Drosophila melanogaster: one gene and its partners. The protein of the gene in region 1 interacts with the protein of each later gene in a pairwise test. Each region holds a gene or a part of one and is shown in the gene's direction. Other genes may lie near its edges.

Region 1 (4,665 bases):
ATTCAATATAGCTTACAGAGGCTTAGATGTTATTAAGCACGTGTATAACAGACAGAAACAACCAATAGCTTACGGCTTAACATTGGACGCTGCGTCTCGTCCTGATGAATATTCATGATCTCCGGGCATCCTTGCCGACCACTTGAAAGTTAGCCTGCTCTGCAGTTTGTCCGCCATGCCGAAATTATAATTCCAGCTCGCTCGTAACTCGCACAAACGTCAGTCTCATTAATTTTGGGCAAGTTGCAGTTTTAAAATTTAGTGCCGGCCCCCAAGTTAATTAACACCTGAGCCTCGGCAGCCGCCACCAAAGTGGGCGGGAAATGGGCTGGGAAAATCGAGCTGGTTTCAGCCACTTCAGTCACACTTTTGTGCTCGGCAGCCGTGTGCACTGACGCAAAGCGGAAGTGGCACTTTTCCCAGTTGAAGCTGGAGCGGAATTTCAGAATGGATGGGGGGATGGAAAATGGGAGCGGGGAATAAGGAATGGGTAATGGGGATCGGTAGCTGCCAGCAGCAGGCGTATCGAAAACCGAAACTTTTGATGGAAAAAGTTTGCAACAACAAACGCATGTTGGCGGGCAAAACAGGCAAGCTAAAAAGCTGAATAGCCGCGGCAAGGGCGCCTTTAAACCATCAAGTAAGTCGCTATAATTCGCGCGCACCGCCTCATGAATTTTTGATTCTTTCTTAGCATTTTTCACTCCGCCAGTCATTCTATCGCTTTCCATTTAATCTGAGTCTTAGCTTTGAATAATGAGCCCTGGCCAAGGTGCGAAGAACTGGGCCAAACTCGAGGGGGTTATCTATAAGCCGGGTTGATATGAAAAGTTCACACTGGGTAAGTAATTGCCTAATTCGAATGCATCGAAATGATAAAGTGAATTTAGTGTACCTTTCGAAAAATAAAAGTAACAATCTCCCATTAAAAAAACACAAACAGTAGACAGTCTGATTTTCGATATTATTTAAAAGTGAACACATTGTTGCACAATCGGTAAACAAGATCCGGAGTAGATCATCGAGCAAGATGTACAAGTTTTGTTGATGCGCTGAAGGAACTAAAAATGCCACAGAGGCAACTGCGAGTTTTCTCATATTTTTTTCCGCCGACTCTGCACTTTCTTTAAAAACCGCTGACTGATGCATGCTGATGACTTTGTCAACAACTTAAATTGTTTGGTGGCAATAAAGTGGACTGAAGTTTAAGTACATTTAGGACAGAAGGCAGCTTTCATTTTCTTCTAATGCAAACAAGTTAGCCCAGCTAAGCAGGATACATAATGCAATCAAATTAACTAGCGCTTGATACGTACTCAAAATCATTTTAAAATCCCTTTTTTAATTCCATCGTTTGTAGATGTATATGGACAGAACAATTAAAAGCATGCAAAAATTATAAAGAACACATAAGCCAACGAAATTAAAGTTTTGCAAAAAAGTATATGGCCTTGAGTCTTCCTCAGTTAATATTTCCATATTAGAGTCGTTATGAATCGCATCGGTTTGTTCTTGGTCCACTCCGTTGAGGGTGCAACTATCTCTATCCAATAAGACATCTTTTTCTTCACTTTAAATAAACAAATTATCACTTTAATGCTTTTGAAATACTTTCAAATAAGTATTATACCCCATTTTTTTGGAGGCACTCTGATCTTTTCAGCTTGAAGGCTCTGTATAAACTGGATGAAGGCACTCATCTGCAAACATGAAAAAATATTCAAGGGAATCGAATTCAAGAACGGAGGCACACTGTACTAAAATCTTTCGGATCGTATGCAGCTTGCACCATTAAAAATGATAATATATTGACAAATTTTTAAGGGACTACCGTCCTAAGTAAAACTATATAAGAGGTATCTGTAAAGTAAGTCTGAGATCACAAGTACATTCATTAGATAAATAACTAAAATTAGTGTAAGAAAAAATATGAACTAATAAAATAATTATTTAAGAAAATTTCTGAGAGGAGTAAACTCACCATAAGAACCCTAGAAAGGGTATTTGTAAGTAAAAACCAAAGCTTTCAGAGAATTTGACTGAAACTAAGAGACAACATTAAAGAGAACCTCTCAAGACGGAAATATATACAGCTGCGGTTAAAATAATAGCACTACTGGAGGTGGAAAGTTCATTTCCTAAAAATAATTATTAAATGTTTATATTTTTTAAAGTCAGATTGCATGAATAATAAGTACCATATGTTGGCTCTCTGAGCAAGAAATTTATGGTCTCTCAATGTAAAGGTTCTTTTTGTTTTTGGGCACTTGCTGCAAAAGTGCGCGAAATGAGGCGGTAACAAAAATAGCACTGACCACGTATTTGCTGAATAATAGAGTGATTGCTTTGGGTTTTTTTCGACAAATTTTGAAAAAGGAGTTGTATTAAAGGTTTTAATTGAATTTTTTCCAAACGAAGACCAAAAGTTCTCTAGTCATGGGTCGCGGCAAGCATTTTACCGTCGAAAAAAGAAATTTGATTAAAAACATGATCTCTAAAGGTAAAAAATACGCTGAAATTGGTGGCATTGTGGGTTGTTCAAGCTAAATGATCCGCAAAGCACTGCTGTTTGTCGAAAAGAACGAAACACGGCGAAGAAAGCCCTCAATGTCGCTTGGTTAGGCAAGGCAAGAAGGAGCCTTTAAAGCCGGCGACGGAACTGAAGAAGGAGCTTCAGATAGCTGAAAGCGGGGAAACTGACAAAAAAGAGAATCTCTCAAGACGGAAACAGAGTGCCAGAAGTATATAAGTACTGAAATGCCTAATATATGAATGTAAAACATTTATCGCTTTTAATAGATTGTTATCAAAGTTGATAGGGTTTGATGATTCGTAAGTAAGCATAAATTGATAACGTAGAACAAATTGATCTCTCTTCGCAATCTCTTACTTCAATGTGATTTTCTTGTCATTTTGAGACTCTTCTCCGCTCTCGTTTGACGGGTTTTCTCAGACTTATATAGTTATCTTATCTGAGTCACAAGCAACAAAAAGAAGATTGTCAGCTCTTGACGGTTCACTGTTTGCCTTGTTGTTGCCTCAATTACCACCTTCTGCCGTGGCGATAATAACCCAGACCCCAAACTGATTGGTAATCATGAAAAAGAGGGAAGGAAAAAACCGCTGAAAATGCCCGGAGACCAGCGAATCGCTCTTTAGTCGAGAGCAGAACGCGTTTTGAAATGGACACGGATGAGACTAAGGCTGGAACCTCGGGTCCGGGGACGTACCACGATGAGGTTGACTTTACCAGCGGATACGAGACTCAGTATAAGAAGGAGTACAGCCCGCTGAAACCGATTTTTGTACCGCCGCCGGATAAAAAGCACGCCTGGTTTCGCAACTGGTCCACCATACTGATGGTCAGCTTCCTGTCCGGGGTGTTTATTCTGGGAACCGTGATGCTGGTGGTCCAAGTTTTCACCGCCAGTCCCCTGCAGATCTTCATGATCGTGGCTATATATGTGGCTATAGCCGCTGTGATGATTTGGCTGGAGGTGCAGTCTATAAAAGTGCGGTGAAATAATATGTACGTGTCGTGACTAATTTAGAGCGTTATCGCACTTACGAGCTACGTTCTGTTTTCAAACAGTGGCAATCGAACTGTGTTCTGCTAGCAAATGCAAAGCTTAACTAAAAAGGAAGCGGCTTTACTGATTAGGCGCTAAGAACAAAAAATCATGATTTAATATAAGTTCAAAGTAAAGAAAGAAATCCCATAATCCATGTGTTTTATTTTTGACTAGACAGTGCTTTTAACGTTTTCCGATAATTCCGGTTCAATTAACTAATTATTTACGGCCCATAAATGAACGTAATCTAGAGAGCGAAACAAGGTGGCCAGATAAAGGGCTTTGTGTGAGATAAGCAAACAAAAGTGAACGAAAGAATCACGAATTCAAGCCATTTAACTGCAAAATAAATACGCATTTTGTTTGTCGATGTATAAAGGACAAATGTTGTAGTGACACATTAAAGCTCCATACATCACAGAGATTAACAAAGCAAAGTACATAAAAAAGATTCCCTTATCAATTAACTAATTAAATTAAGCACGCTAATTAAAAATTCATTAATAGCGGCTTAGCGATGGAGAGTGGAAATTCAATTATTTAACGCTGTTGTTTATTAAAGGAAGTGTCACAAACCGCATCTGCGCCGGTGTTTGGCACACAAAATTATTAAAATTATTTCCACTCTCACTTGAAAAAGAAAAAATACAACGAATTTTCAACTATGCCAGTTCCCAATGGAAATAGTTCTCTAAATATTTTCACATTTGCATTTTTCTAAATCACTTCTGTAATTGCTTTTCACATGCCACTGCTGGAAAAACTCCGACTCCCTCAGAATTTTCCATGTTTTTACAACAGTTTTCTCACTTGTGTGTGCCATCAAGTTGGTAAAATTCTAGTTTAATAGCTTGAAATGTTACGAACATTTGGTCAGCGTAAAAACAGCCGGACAAGCTTATTTCTCACTTGGAAATTCTAAAAAAAAAAAACGTTGTCCCATTAAACTTTAATTTCCGTTGACAATGGACGACACTTTTTGCTCTTTCCGTTTTTTGGCCCCACTCGAGACGGAGGCAACAGCTGACTTACCTTAATTACTCACAGGATTCCGAGCCGTGCTAATTATTTGCAGGGTGCACTTTTCAGACGG
Region 2 (5,455 bases), on another chromosome or scaffold:
TTAAGACGTTCATTTCTGTAGCAATATAAGCAAAATGAAGAAGACTTTTATACTAAGCCGTGGAAAAACATTTGGTTCACTATACAAAGTTTAACATGCTCAGATGGTAATCGACAACTAAAGTGTTTTATACTCTCCGATACTATGTTCTGGTAATATGACATCGTGGACAGCTATGTGCTATCCATATTCCATATACTATTTATGACAATTTATTGAAAGTCTATAATAATTGCTGTACAGAATTTCCAATCAGGAATAGTTGACACAAGATTCAAAGCTTGATACTTCCAGTATTTGCATCGTAAAGCATGAAATTACGGAGTTGAGGGTTATCTTCAGATGGTGGATCTTGCTAAGATTTCCTGCTGGGGACAACATCGCTCATCAGACTAGTAGAACGAGTATCCTTGTTTCCATTTCTTATTTGTGCAAAATGGTTACAAGGACAACCCGATTATGAGAATCTATAAACGACTGTGCGCTGGGTTAGATCAGCTAACACTTTGACCTTACTGGGTCCACAATCAGTTGGGATTACGGGGATGCGAAGGAGGCGGAGGCAGCGGAGGATGAGGACATGGCCCGGAGGATGAGCAGACAAAGCGTTGACAATGGCCCAAACAAAAGAAACACAAAACAGACGAGCAGATAATGGACGTGACGATATCGGGGCAGCAAGGGAGCGGAAACCGCGAGCAATGGCAAAATGTATATACATAGCTTGTATGGTCGGAATAAGCCCCATTGTTTTATGCATGCAAACAAAAACATCCGAAGGAATGGGGAGCACCTTTCGCGAAATGCGAGTGACGCCCTACGGCTGCATCTGCAAGGATACTTCCCGCTTTAGCTTCAAGCTAAAGGGCTGTCAATCCGGCATGGGATACCTTCTGTTGGAGTTCAAAGATATCGACATTTTCCGCCAAATGCAATCAGTCTTAATCATCAATGAGTAGTAGAAAAGTGACACGAACACGCTATTAGCACCTGGTAACCTACGCATGTCTTTCAGCACTACATGGAATAGATACATCTGTATTAACTGCAGTAATGCCAACAGAAAGAGTACTATTGCCTCAAAATACCCGTTTAAAATATAAAAGGTTACATAAAAATAAAAAAGCATTTGTGTGCCTGCAACTGACTAAGTAGACAATCAATCAAAGTTCTAGAAAAATTTAGAAAAGTTAGATTGCAACTGAGGTTTCACTACCTTAAAAAGGGCTCTATAGACGCCCCCATTTGTTGCAATGCATTTAAGCTAAGTGGTTCTTACGACTGCCTTTATGCAAGGCACTTTCTAGATAGAATACATAATACATACATAGAATACATAACTTTCGATGAAAGCAATCTGAAAGTTTCGAAGTACCCTGAGTTTAAATAATTTTAATTTGATGGTTTGCTTTTGGGGTCTTCAATAAAAATTCAACTAAGTTATAAATTACAGAACTAATAGTAGTATGAAACTGCAGCAGTCGAGGTCCTTAGGGAGCACTACAGCTCCGAGTGGGCGTACTCGTCGTGCGTTGAGCTCTTCTCCTTGGGCACGATAAAGAGGCCCTCCGCCGTGGTCCAGCGCGTTCCGTGCTGCGGCTTGTGGACGCCAACGATTTCCATTTGGCCGGAGATGGGTCTGCCATAGGAGCGGCCGGACATGCCCAGGTACATGCCGGTGTCGATGTGGCGCAGCCTAACGTGGGCACTGCGCATCCAGTTCTCGTTGGAGCAGACCACCTCCCAGTGGTCGCCGGTGTCGCCGAGTCCATCCGTTCCGTACGCGGACACCTCCTGCTCGCCTGAGAGCGGCGACGAAAAGTGGTGCGAGTGCAGGTTCTTCTTGGTGGACAGGTGCTCCAGTCGCACGGTGGATCCGCAGGCGATGGGCTCGCCCCTTTCACAAAGCTCGCCGGTCTGCGCCTTGATCACCCAGTGGCTGTTCACGTCCTCCTTCTGCTCCACGCCCGTCACCGACTGCTGCCCGGAACCAGATCCGTACTTGACGTCGTGGGAGTGCAGGCGGAAGGCGTAGTCCGAGTTGAGCAGCTTCAGGATGGAGCCGCAGGTGACCACGTTGGATTCGGTGGCTGTGTTCAGCAGGGTCAAGATAGAATATAAGATAAGCATTAACTATGGCCACGGAAGGTTCAGAAAGAGGGGCGGCCAATCAGAGAAGACCACATAGACGCGACTTTGTTTCAGGTCGCCACTTACCGGCTCCCCTGGAAATGCTGCCTACCAGCGCCAGTCCTGTAAGAAGTAGTATGTGCTGCATCGTGTCCTGTTCTAGTTATCGTATCCTAGTCCGTGGACCTAAGTCAGTCAATCTGTACCGGCAATTACGGTTGAAATCAGCGTTGCACACGCAAACAATTGCTATTTTTGACGGTGCTGGTGTGACCAGGCTGCGGTAAAATCCAAATTATGGACTCACCGAAAAAAATAAACATAATACTATAACAAACTCCATATTGCTGTAACTTATTCCATTAACGGAAAATAGCTTAATGTATATAATAAATGTTGAATAAAGGAAAAATATAATTAGTCTTTTCAGAGAGCAGATTACGAATTTGACGTCACAGATTTATTGATACGCCTAGAAACTTATTTCTTGATTGTTTTAGAATTAAATGAACGTTATATCGTGAAGGAAATAATTAGTTATTAATAATTAGCCTAAAAACTAATTGCACCAAAAGGAACTAGTTCGATGAGCGACAATTTGTTGGTATTTTCTGTGCACCAGACAAGTACGGTCACTCTGCGAAATTGCAAGGGAATTTTCTCCAATAAAAGGCAAGAAAACTGAGGAAAATTGAAATTAAAGAAAAATTAATGGCACACAAGCGCCTGTTCGTCTACGCGGTGCTACTGGTGATATGTTATTTGGTTGGCGTGACATGGGTATGATGACTGGCCACATCCCGTGACTGCCCCACTAATCCGCTTTCATTTCCCCCTCAAACAATCAACAAAGGCTGAGACTGCGGCGCAGACATTCCCAGCGATCGGCACCAACAGCAACAACAACAGCAATGCTCAACCTGCTCCTGTGCCTGCACCTGCAGCTCCAGCGGCTGCAGCTCCACTAGCCAAGCAAGTTTCAGCTCCCACTGCCGCCCCTCCGGCCAAGGTCATCGGCCAGCCTGTGCTCGCTGCTCCAGGCAAAAATTCTTCCAATTCCAGCAGCACAACTGAGTGGTAAGTGGCACTGCACTGGCAGAAATTGCCGCATCTGGAAACTTAAAGTCTAGTCCATTTGAGCAGTTTTAAAGCTGCAATCCCTTTCGTCCCACTGGATTCTACTACTTTAAATTCAATTTACGTTGTTTGCGTAGGCTTCAAAGAATCATAGTTCATGTATTGCACAAATGTATTCACTTTTCAGCTACTAAATGTATAAGGCATCTTGGTATCAATGAGCTTAATTTGTGATTCTGTTAGGTTGGAGTTCTTAACAACCTGCTACACGTTACCATTTCAGCGTCTGTGCCGGTGCCCTGCTGCCCCGTTTGGATGCCAATGGCAAGGAGCTGCCCATATGCGCCGAGTGCAAGTGCTCCCATGTGGCGAGAAATACGACGCTGATAAAGGTGAGTCAATTCGAGTGCTCAAAAGCCGTCCGTACTTAACCAGCTCTCTCCCCCATCCAGGTCGTGGTCATTATTGTGATTTGGATCATCTCCATTTTAGTAATATACATGCTCTTCCTGATGTGCCTGGACCCGTTGCTGAACAAGCGAGTGAAGGCGAACTACCAGGAGCACACCAACGAAGATGTACATAACAAGCTTTCTAGATACAAGGGCATTCAGTATAGCCTCCTAGTTACAGCCCAAGGCGAAGATGATGAAGATGACGATGTTGATGCCGAAGCGGCTCAACTAGTTGGCAATAAAGAAGCACCACTCTTTTGAATAGATTTTAATTTCCACAACCACCTTTGTTTCATTTTGCGTTATAGATTTTGTTGACTTTCTAACCCACACCGTCACTTCATTAAGACAGTAACTAACACGGCCAGATCTTGGATCACCTCGACTAATTCCACATTTTTCCACCCTTTTCTAACCAGGATGAACCAACGCCGCCCCTGCCAGCCGTCAACAACCAGGAGCTCAGTGCCAGAGCCAATGTCCTCAATCGTGTGGGCCACCAGCAGGACAAGTGGAAGCGGCAGGTGCGCGAGCAGAGACGCCACATCTACGACAGGCATACCATGCTAAACTAACAAGGGGTTCGGTTTGCAGCTGGCGGAGATTAGGAGGCGCATGGGCGACTTAAGACACGTATTCCAAGCAGTTATCCTTTGCGAAATTCCCCTTTGGATCAAATTGATTATCTGTATATTTAGCCAGATTTTATGTTAATTAAAATAAACCAAAATATGTTTGTCAGGAGTGTTTGCATATTAATTAATAAGTTGAATGCCGGGAGGAATAACCAACAAATCCACTAAAATAAAACTTTTAATGATAATTGATGGTTATAATTTGGGAAAATAAGGAACGTAAGACCGTAATGGTGAGTCCAAGTTAGATTTGGAAACTCCCTTGGGCTTCTTAGTTTGACGCCTACTTTTTGATTCCATCAGTAGAGATTAACGAAAGAATAACTCGAAGATAGTTTCTATCACACAATAACCATAACTTTAAACGTATTATTTTCAGCCACATTTATTTTTAATAAATCATGTAACCACATATCCTTAGACAAGTGTTTTTTTTTAATGCAAAACCGCCGAGCTAGACCTAAACTAAGTTCATTCAGAATCGGAGGCTCTAGTATCCCTTTATGGTTTCGGCGAATGTCCAGTTTTCGTTAACTTGGAAGGGCCCCTCCACGCCGCATCCGTTGACGCTGCACACGCCCACAGTGTATTGGGAAATATTACGAGTATCGCGGTAGTAAAGCACCTCCATGCATGTGCGGATCTAGAATATAAGAAAATGGTAGGGTAGTTAAATAATGAAGAGTCCCCCCATCAGAGTTCGAAATTCCTTACCAGTTCGGAAGCTTCTACGGCGGTAAAGTCCCTGTCCTTGGGCTTCTTCTCACGGACCAGCGGAACGGCCAAATGGCGGGCAAAACCAGTGGCCACCACGTAGTCCTCGTAGGATCGTCCACGGAGATCCACGTTGGCCAGGTACGGAGTCCCCTCGTTGTCCACGCCGCCGACAACCACGTCAATGTAGAGGGGGTTCATCCGCGAACGACGGTTGTAGAGCACACGGGTCATCCAACTGGCCAAGGACTTGGGCTTCATCTCGATGTTGTCGTCGCAGCACTGGTCCTCGATCATCTTCTGGTCGATGTTGCGCTTGATGGACTGGATGTCAGCGAAGTCGCCGCTCCCGCCGAGCAGGATGTTCTTGTTGACCTTAAAGACGCGCTCAATGTTTTGGTAGCGGGCCATGGATCCGTAAGACACCAGGGTGTCGGCGGCCAG
Region 3 (6,983 bases), on another chromosome or scaffold:
AAAAAAAATCGACATAAGTCTGTCTTGCAATTGTGAAAACTTATTAGCGGGTAAAAAAATGGTAAAGCTGTTTCGAAAGGTCAAGAACAGGCAGGGGCTACGAATATGTTAATATGATATGTTATCTTAATGGGTTTTATCCTAATTCTAAATTACATGTAAAGGTGGCTGAGAGCATGCTTTAAAATATATATTTTTCTCTCTGCATAAAAAGTAAGAAATATCTTTAGGGTCGAGGGTCAAAAAGGGGTTTAAACTGCGGGTCAGCTTTTGTGTGGCATTGGATTGGTCTGCGGCGTTTCCGGTTTTCGAGTATACGTTATTAGCTCACTGGGCGTGGATGCGGTCCAGCAGGGTCTGAATTTTACGATTTCATTCATTTTTGTGGCTGCCATTTGGCGCCGCAAAATATGCAACTAAATTTTATTTGCAGAAATAAGAGCTCAAGACCTTGGCTGGCATAAAAATAATATTGGGCAATGCTTTGGAAGTAAGTGTGAAAAACCCCTTGAAGGCACTCGTTCCAAAGAATTTATCAATTAGAATAGTAGCTGAAAAACACAGCATCCGTGTAATAAAGCACGTAACAGAGTGAGGGGAAAAGTGCTACGATGGACAATAAAAAAACATACCGAATAGAGTGTGGTAAAATTGGGTGAAAGAGGAAACATCACACAAATCTGAAAACCATAAAAGTGTCGCTTTCAATTGTTACCCCAAACTCGGAACTACAGGCGACAATCGAAGCCAACAAGTGAAATTGAAACGTTCAATGGATAGTGCGGAGTCCTGAAAGGATGCATGTGGACAGAGGGGCGTGGAAAGGAAACAGGATGGATGAGGGTGCTCTAGAAGCTCACAGGCACAAATTGATGATGATGTAGTGTGTGTGTGCCTGCAACTGTGTGGCAGGATGCTGGATGCGAGATTTTTTATGCATCCTGACTTGGGCTTCAGGGCCTCAAAATATTATTTATGCATTTAATATTTATAAGTACTCTTGTCTTAACCTATTTTTGGAAGAATGTTAACATAAAATTATATTAAAAATATGAATTTTCACTTTTGATAGAGTAGCACAAATCCCCAGTGATTTTTATTCCAATACTTTATTACGTTCTCAGCTGAACTGAGAATGATGCCAGCGATGATTGACACCACGCCCGGCAATAAATTTTTAATTTTCAATGCTCCCCTAGAGACTGATGCTCTGATGGACCCCTGTCCACATCCTTTCCTCCAGTGAGCTTGTTAAATTCAAATTAGAACGATGCCAGGAGCTGCGCTCTATGCGAGAAGTTGCCGCTGACAGCGAAGATAAATGACACAGAACTGCGATCGCAACAAATTAACCTTGTTAGAGGCTGCAGCACAGGCAAAGGCGGGGCCAGGACATAACTCCGGAGCAGTGGTAACGGCAAGGACTCCGGCCCGAGGACACCAGTTACAAGTGTATGTAATTTTTTATCGTCTGCGACTTTCGACTCCACTCTCCCACTGACGACGACTGACTTATGAATGGCGTGTGCCAAGTTGAGTCGAGACAAAGCACTGGAAGAAATTGTATGGGCTTAAAAATAATAATATATAGTTCAACAAAAAATAACTTATTTTTGTATCGCTAGAAATGATACAATTAGATTTATATGATTTTAGTATGATTTAGTAATGTGAAGGATACTTTAAAGATTCATTCAAAAAACTGTTTAGGTACCCCTAACCTGAGAACAAACATTGCAGTACACTTGAACTACATGTATATTTTTTAAGTGCCTTGAATTTCCTGCTACTGCCACTGCTTTGGAGTCGATAAATCAGTTTGTGTATCAAATTGAATTCACGAGCGTGCACATGACACCAGCCCACGCACATTTATCAGCCGATTCAGGCGAATCATGCGGAGCATGAACTTTAACTCCACCGGTTTTCGGCAAACCGCAAAATTTTAATCTCAACTAAGAGCTTACAAGAAAATAAAATCCATCGCCCGTTTGCATTATAAATTATTCATTACGAAAACGCAACCGCGACACGCCCACATTTTTTTTTTTTTTTGAGCCAAGTAAATGAACGCCTGCCGCCGACAGGCGCTCGTTTGCACCTAATTTGATTTTTAGTTGCTGCTCCTTTTGGTGGCGAGTCTGCGGTCGGTTCGCTTGGCATTCCATACCCAGCAGCAGCAGCTGCCCCACCCATATGGCATTTGAAGCCATCTCGCAGATTCTAGCTCACAAATACAGGCGCCCACACGAAGAAGGACTCGGCAGCGCATCCTGTTTTCTTTCATTCATTCCAGCGCGGCTGGCTGTCGAAAAAATGTCTGTCATGTGGCTAGAGAATTTTGCAGTAATTAATGGCAACTGTTTGATTAAAAAATTCCACAGCAGCTCAACATGCAGGGATGTGTACGGGTTTTAGTTCTAGTTTTCCACGCCCCCAAGCCGTTTTCCATTACCAAACGCGGTCAAAAGCTGCGATGCTGAATAAATCTATGCAAATTCCACAGATTTCTTAAAGTCCTTTTTCAAGCTCTTCGAACGTTGAATGAAGCAAAGAAGTATAAATTTATGAAAATAACCCAATTTATTTGTTTATTTAACACTTGAGAACAATGTCAATTGGATTACCATTTGCAAAAATCTAAATGTTAAATTTTTTATTTTCATCTGAGCTATAATGTGCATTTGCTCAACTCGTGTACTCAAAATCGTTCTTTTGGCATTCATACATCTTGCCGCAGTGAGTTGAATAGACACCCGTTCATGTCAAATTACTGTTGACGCATTTTTTTAAGGGATTTAATGGCGCGCAAATAGCGAAGGACATTACTTTGCTGGATAAACTGGTGGGTCACCATCATGTTATGCTTACTATAAGTCTAGCACTATGTGTTATCATACTAGTTGTTCTCTTAGTTGCCATTTTTGCTGCTATTCGTCATCATATATTGGCTTTAAACGTGGTGCGTAGCTTTGAATTATTCAAAAATAATTATTGTATTCAAAATATTGTACAACTTTTTCAGACGCTTGTTTTCTTGATTTTTAAGTGTGTAGCAAAGGGTATTATCGTAATCGTTTGCGTATTAACCGCAGAAACAGGTATTGAAAATACTGCCGCACATTTTTGGTTCTTTCTATGCTGGAAATTCACGGTGCGTATTTCATTTAATTGGATTGGTGATAAAATAATCTTAATTAATTCAAAATAGTGTTGCTGTATGCTCTTTAATCTATTCTTTTATATACGGCTAACAGAGAATTCAAGACAAGCTGACTAATTCTTATAAAGAGTATTGATTGTGGTAAGGATTTGTAAAACTTGTAAACTTTTCAGAAAATTCTAAACTTTTTTCCACACATTTGTTTTAGTTCTTCGAACGAAATATTTTCAAATTCTATCTTGACAGAATGTGCTTTTGTCCGACACTTGGTCTCAAAATTGTACTTTTGTTAGTAATACCTATAACCGCAGTAAGTTGGATGCTCATTTGATTGATTAACCAATTCAATATTCAATTGGCAGGGAATTAATGGTGCTCAAATAGCCAAAGATGTTTCTATATTGAATTTATTAAAGGGATACCATTATATTATGCTTATTATAAGCCTATCCCTGTCCGTAGTTATACTGGCGACTCTGGTTCTTTTAATATATGCGGCGATCTGTAATAAAATTCGAATTCTGAAAGTGGTTCGTTAGCATGAGGTTTTAAAAATCATTGAGTTAAATTTTTGATGTAATTTTCAGATGATCTTTGTTTATGTAGCCATCGTCGTGGTGAAACTGATAATTCTGTTCGTGTGTCTAAGTACTGAATTGAATCCTGACAAGACGACAGCCCATCCCATATTTATGATATGCTGGCTCCTTACGGTAAGGTTATACAGACATTCAAATTATATAACTATGTATTAACCAAGTTTTTCCGACAACTGAATAGTTCTTATGTATGGCCGTTATAATAATATACTGGCTTCGGCTACATGACCTTGCCAACGAAGACAATTAGACTGGTATTGAAATGAATACTATGAATACTATGAATACTATCTGGCATAAACGCAAAATATCGTATTACCTCCTCATTAGATCCGTCATTGTGATTTTCAGTGATTAATGTTAAGATATTAACTATGTCGAATAACCAACTGCATTAGAGCAAAAACGGAAACTCACTGGAAACTTCATTAATGAATTGTAAGTATCTGTCAACTTGGGATTTTAGAACTTAACATCTTGTCTTTTGTAAGCAATTGGAGTTAATACCAAAAGCTAGCTGAATTTGCAAATTATAATGGACATCGTATTGGTATTGAAAAACATAGTATCGCTAATTGTCAACCGAAAAAATTCTGTTTTTTTTTTTTAAAGCAGTTATACCATCGAAAGCAGTGTCATTTTAGGTCAAAAATATATATATTCGTATTTTTCGGATAAAATATGGTGGATAATGAGGAAACGGGATGCCTTCAAAGATTACTCAGCGTTGGAAAGCTACAGATTTGCAAGTTCATAATCTACTTTGTGTGGTTGGTCAATTTCGTAGGTAATATCATGGAAGCGAAGAAAAAACCACTACAAAGGTGTTCCCACCCACAGATTTTCAGCTGTGCGGATATTTACATATACTATTTCATACTGAAGGAACACATGCCTTGCTGGGATTGTTTGTTCAGGTCCTACATGATAATCGCTCTAACCGTAAATGCCCTAATGGCGCCGCTGCTGATAGTCGGTTTTTTCTTCATATATTCGCATTTATGCCGCGAAATACGCATTGTAATTGTTTGTAAACATTATTTTTAAAAACACAGCGATTGCCAAGATTGTATTTAAATTTTACAGTATGCCACAGTACTCTTCCTGGCAACATGGTTGCAGATGATGCTGACTATACTGTTTGCACAACAGTACCAAATTGTTGGAGATGTACTTCGAATATGGATGAATCGCAAGAGTTTGGAATTCTACGAAAGTCGCGTAAGAGTTTCGCAATAATATTATATTAAGTAGTAAAGTTACCCACTTCGTTTATTAAAAGTGCCAGTGCTGCGGAGTTTTGGGACCTGACGACTACAAGTTGGGCGATCTGAATATCCCAAAATCCTGTTACAAGAATGGCAGTGAAAGGGATGAGGACCTGTACCGATCAGGCTGCTCCACGCGCTCCATAAAGCCCGCGTCGCCCATCATCCATGTGATCTCCTTCGTAATTCAGGTGAGTAGTGGTCGGGTGTTTCGAATTCTAACGCTAAAAACCATTTTAGTATGTTTTAGTCATATGCATTGAGGTATTCCTTATTATCCTGTTAAGGAGCAAATCCCAACCCACAAGTATGTGGTCTGAGCGGGTCACCGAAAGGTTTGGTAGTGTAAAAAAGTGACTTGCAGTTCTATTCGGATTTGGGAAGCAATCCTAAAGAACATCTCTGAACTTTAGGGCTATTTTCCAACATTGCATGGAACTTAAGCAGCAGATTTTCATGTGAATTGCAATTTTGGGTGCGGTTTTCAATTCACATTGTACCGGGCATGAGTATTGGCATTCTGGCGGGCGAGACAAATTGGATGCTGCCGGCTATCGTCATATTTCACGGACTGCAATCAATAACGATAAACACTTGAGTCGCAAATCCAATGTCCAGAATCCTGTCCAACAACGGCATGCATATGGATGAGCCAATAAAGAAATCAACAAAGCATGTCGGGCGATTGAAAAAGTATTGCAAATACCCCGGATAGCTGGGGATTCGGACACGGAATTGGACTCCAATCCGGACAATATGCAAATGCAGCTAAGCAGAAAATATTCAAGGACGATCCAGCCCCACCCCCTTCAACAAACGCTCAAGTTTATATATTCATTTTGTGTCCCTCGTCCCGCGCATAAATTTTATTGTTGTCAACATTAAATTCTAGTCGTGAAAAACAATTTTGCAGCATTTGAAAATCCATAAAATATGCATACGAAATTGTCCGCCGGAACGACCAACTTTATGGCTAAATAGTTTGCTCCGGCCCACATCGTTAATGCCTTTTTTATGCGTTGTATTTGGGTGTTGGGTAAACTTTTTAGCCGCCATAACAATAACGGCAGCAAAAGCAACCACACTTTGGTCAAGCTGCTGAAATATCCAGTGCAAAGTTCATAGATAAAGGGAAGGGATACAAAGACGAAGTCGCAGGCGAAAAGGGTCATGTGGCTCATTAAACTTTGGCCAACAATTTTTTGTTGCACCCCCCAACCGGCAAAGACAAACAGAAAGTTTTGCACTAAATATTTGCGCCCTCGCAAAAAAAAAAACTAGGAAAACAGAATGAAAAGGGTTTTTGAGGTGAGTGGCCATGGTTTCCGGGGATTTAAAATGGTTGCAACAATTCTTAGCACACATACGCCCCATTAAACGCTAGAAAAATTATATGTTAAGAGCTAAAACAAAAAGGGTGAAAGTGTTTCTTTAAATTGATGTTATTAAATCGTTTTATATGGGAAGTTCTTCAGAATATATGATCATAAAATTAGATTTATGACTGACCCCTTTTACAATGTTTAAACTTTAATTCTTTGCTTACTTGAACAACCTTTTTACCTTTGCAATTGCAGGAAATAATAATTCGTGCTTGATTCAGTTATAAACGGATTTTATTTCGTACAGACAATTCAACAAAGTGTCAACAAAGGTTGGGATGACCTGACCTAGTATCCCCAGTGGGATCCGAATCCATCGAAGCTGGCGTGGGCAACCACGGCGGCGGGCGAGTACTTCACATAGGCGGCGGGAGCAGCAGCCACCAGAGGAGCAGGAGCGTGGTAAACTGGAGCAGGAGCGGAGTACACGGTCTTGGCCACGACTGGAGCTGGAGCGGAGTAGACTGGAGCTGGGGCGGCATAGACAGCCTTGGCGACGGGAGCAGAGTACACGGTCTTGGCCACGACTGGAGCTGGAGCGGCGTAGACTGGAGCTGGAGCGGCATAGACA

The links. The genes of interacting proteins can lie anywhere in the genome.
Region 2: the proteins of CG15152 (region 1) and CG1161 interact in a two-hybrid assay, tested with the Drosophila melanogaster proteins (one large-scale study listed by BioGRID).
Region 3: the proteins of CG15152 (region 1) and CG42661 interact in a two-hybrid assay, tested with the Drosophila melanogaster proteins (one large-scale study listed by BioGRID).

The regions. Positions count from the first base shown.
Region 1 is NT_033779.5:18,111,501-18,116,165, forward strand, and holds CG15152 (uncharacterized protein), read left to right. Parts: upstream 1-3,046; 5' UTR 3,047-3,182; coding exon 3,183-3,521; 3' UTR 3,522-3,720; downstream 3,721-4,665. Other genes in the region: CG44476 (uncharacterized protein), read right to left, coding at 1,342-1,570, 1,631-1,635.
Region 2 is NT_033777.3:5,352,344-5,357,798, forward strand, and holds CG1161 (uncharacterized protein), read left to right. Parts: upstream 1-2,748; 5' UTR 2,749-2,841; coding exon 2,842-2,910; intron 2,911-2,983; coding exon 2,984-3,207; intron 3,208-3,490; coding exon 3,491-3,599; intron 3,600-3,659; coding exon 3,660-3,785; coding exon of another isoform or gene 3,786-3,923; exon of another isoform or gene 3,924-4,081; coding exon 4,082-4,237; 3' UTR 4,238-4,405; downstream 4,406-5,455. Other genes in the region: CG11999 (uncharacterized protein), read right to left, coding at 1,501-2,090, 2,218-2,278; Prosbeta7 (proteasome beta7 subunit), read right to left, coding at 4,788-4,940, 5,012-5,455.
Region 3 is NT_037436.4:7,462,876-7,469,858, forward strand, and holds CG42661 (uncharacterized protein), read left to right. Parts: upstream 1-2,633; 5' UTR 2,634-2,676; coding exon of another isoform or gene 2,677-2,739; intron 2,740-2,794; coding exon of another isoform or gene 2,795-2,962; intron 2,963-3,025; coding exon of another isoform or gene 3,026-3,154; intron 3,155-3,211; coding exon of another isoform or gene 3,212-3,280; 5' UTR 3,281-3,304; intron 3,305-3,371; 5' UTR 3,372-3,410; coding exon 3,411-3,473; intron 3,474-3,525; coding exon 3,526-3,693; intron 3,694-3,750; coding exon 3,751-3,876; intron 3,877-3,943; coding exon 3,944-4,012; 3' UTR 4,013-4,200; intron 4,201-4,253; 3' UTR 4,254-4,312; intron 4,313-4,377; 3' UTR 4,378-4,443; coding exon of another isoform or gene 4,444-4,545; intron 4,546-4,602; coding exon of another isoform or gene 4,603-4,788; 3' UTR 4,789-4,848; coding exon of another isoform or gene 4,849-4,983; intron 4,984-5,044; coding exon of another isoform or gene 5,045-5,221; intron 5,222-5,270; coding exon of another isoform or gene 5,271-5,387; 3' UTR 5,388-5,933; downstream 5,934-6,983. Other genes in the region: CG42660 (uncharacterized protein), read left to right, coding at 2,677-2,739, 2,795-2,962, 3,026-3,154, 3,212-3,280; Tsp66A (tetraspanin 66A), read left to right, coding at 4,444-4,545, 4,603-4,788, 4,849-4,983, 5,045-5,221, 5,271-5,387; CG8543 (uncharacterized protein), read right to left, coding at 6,701-6,983.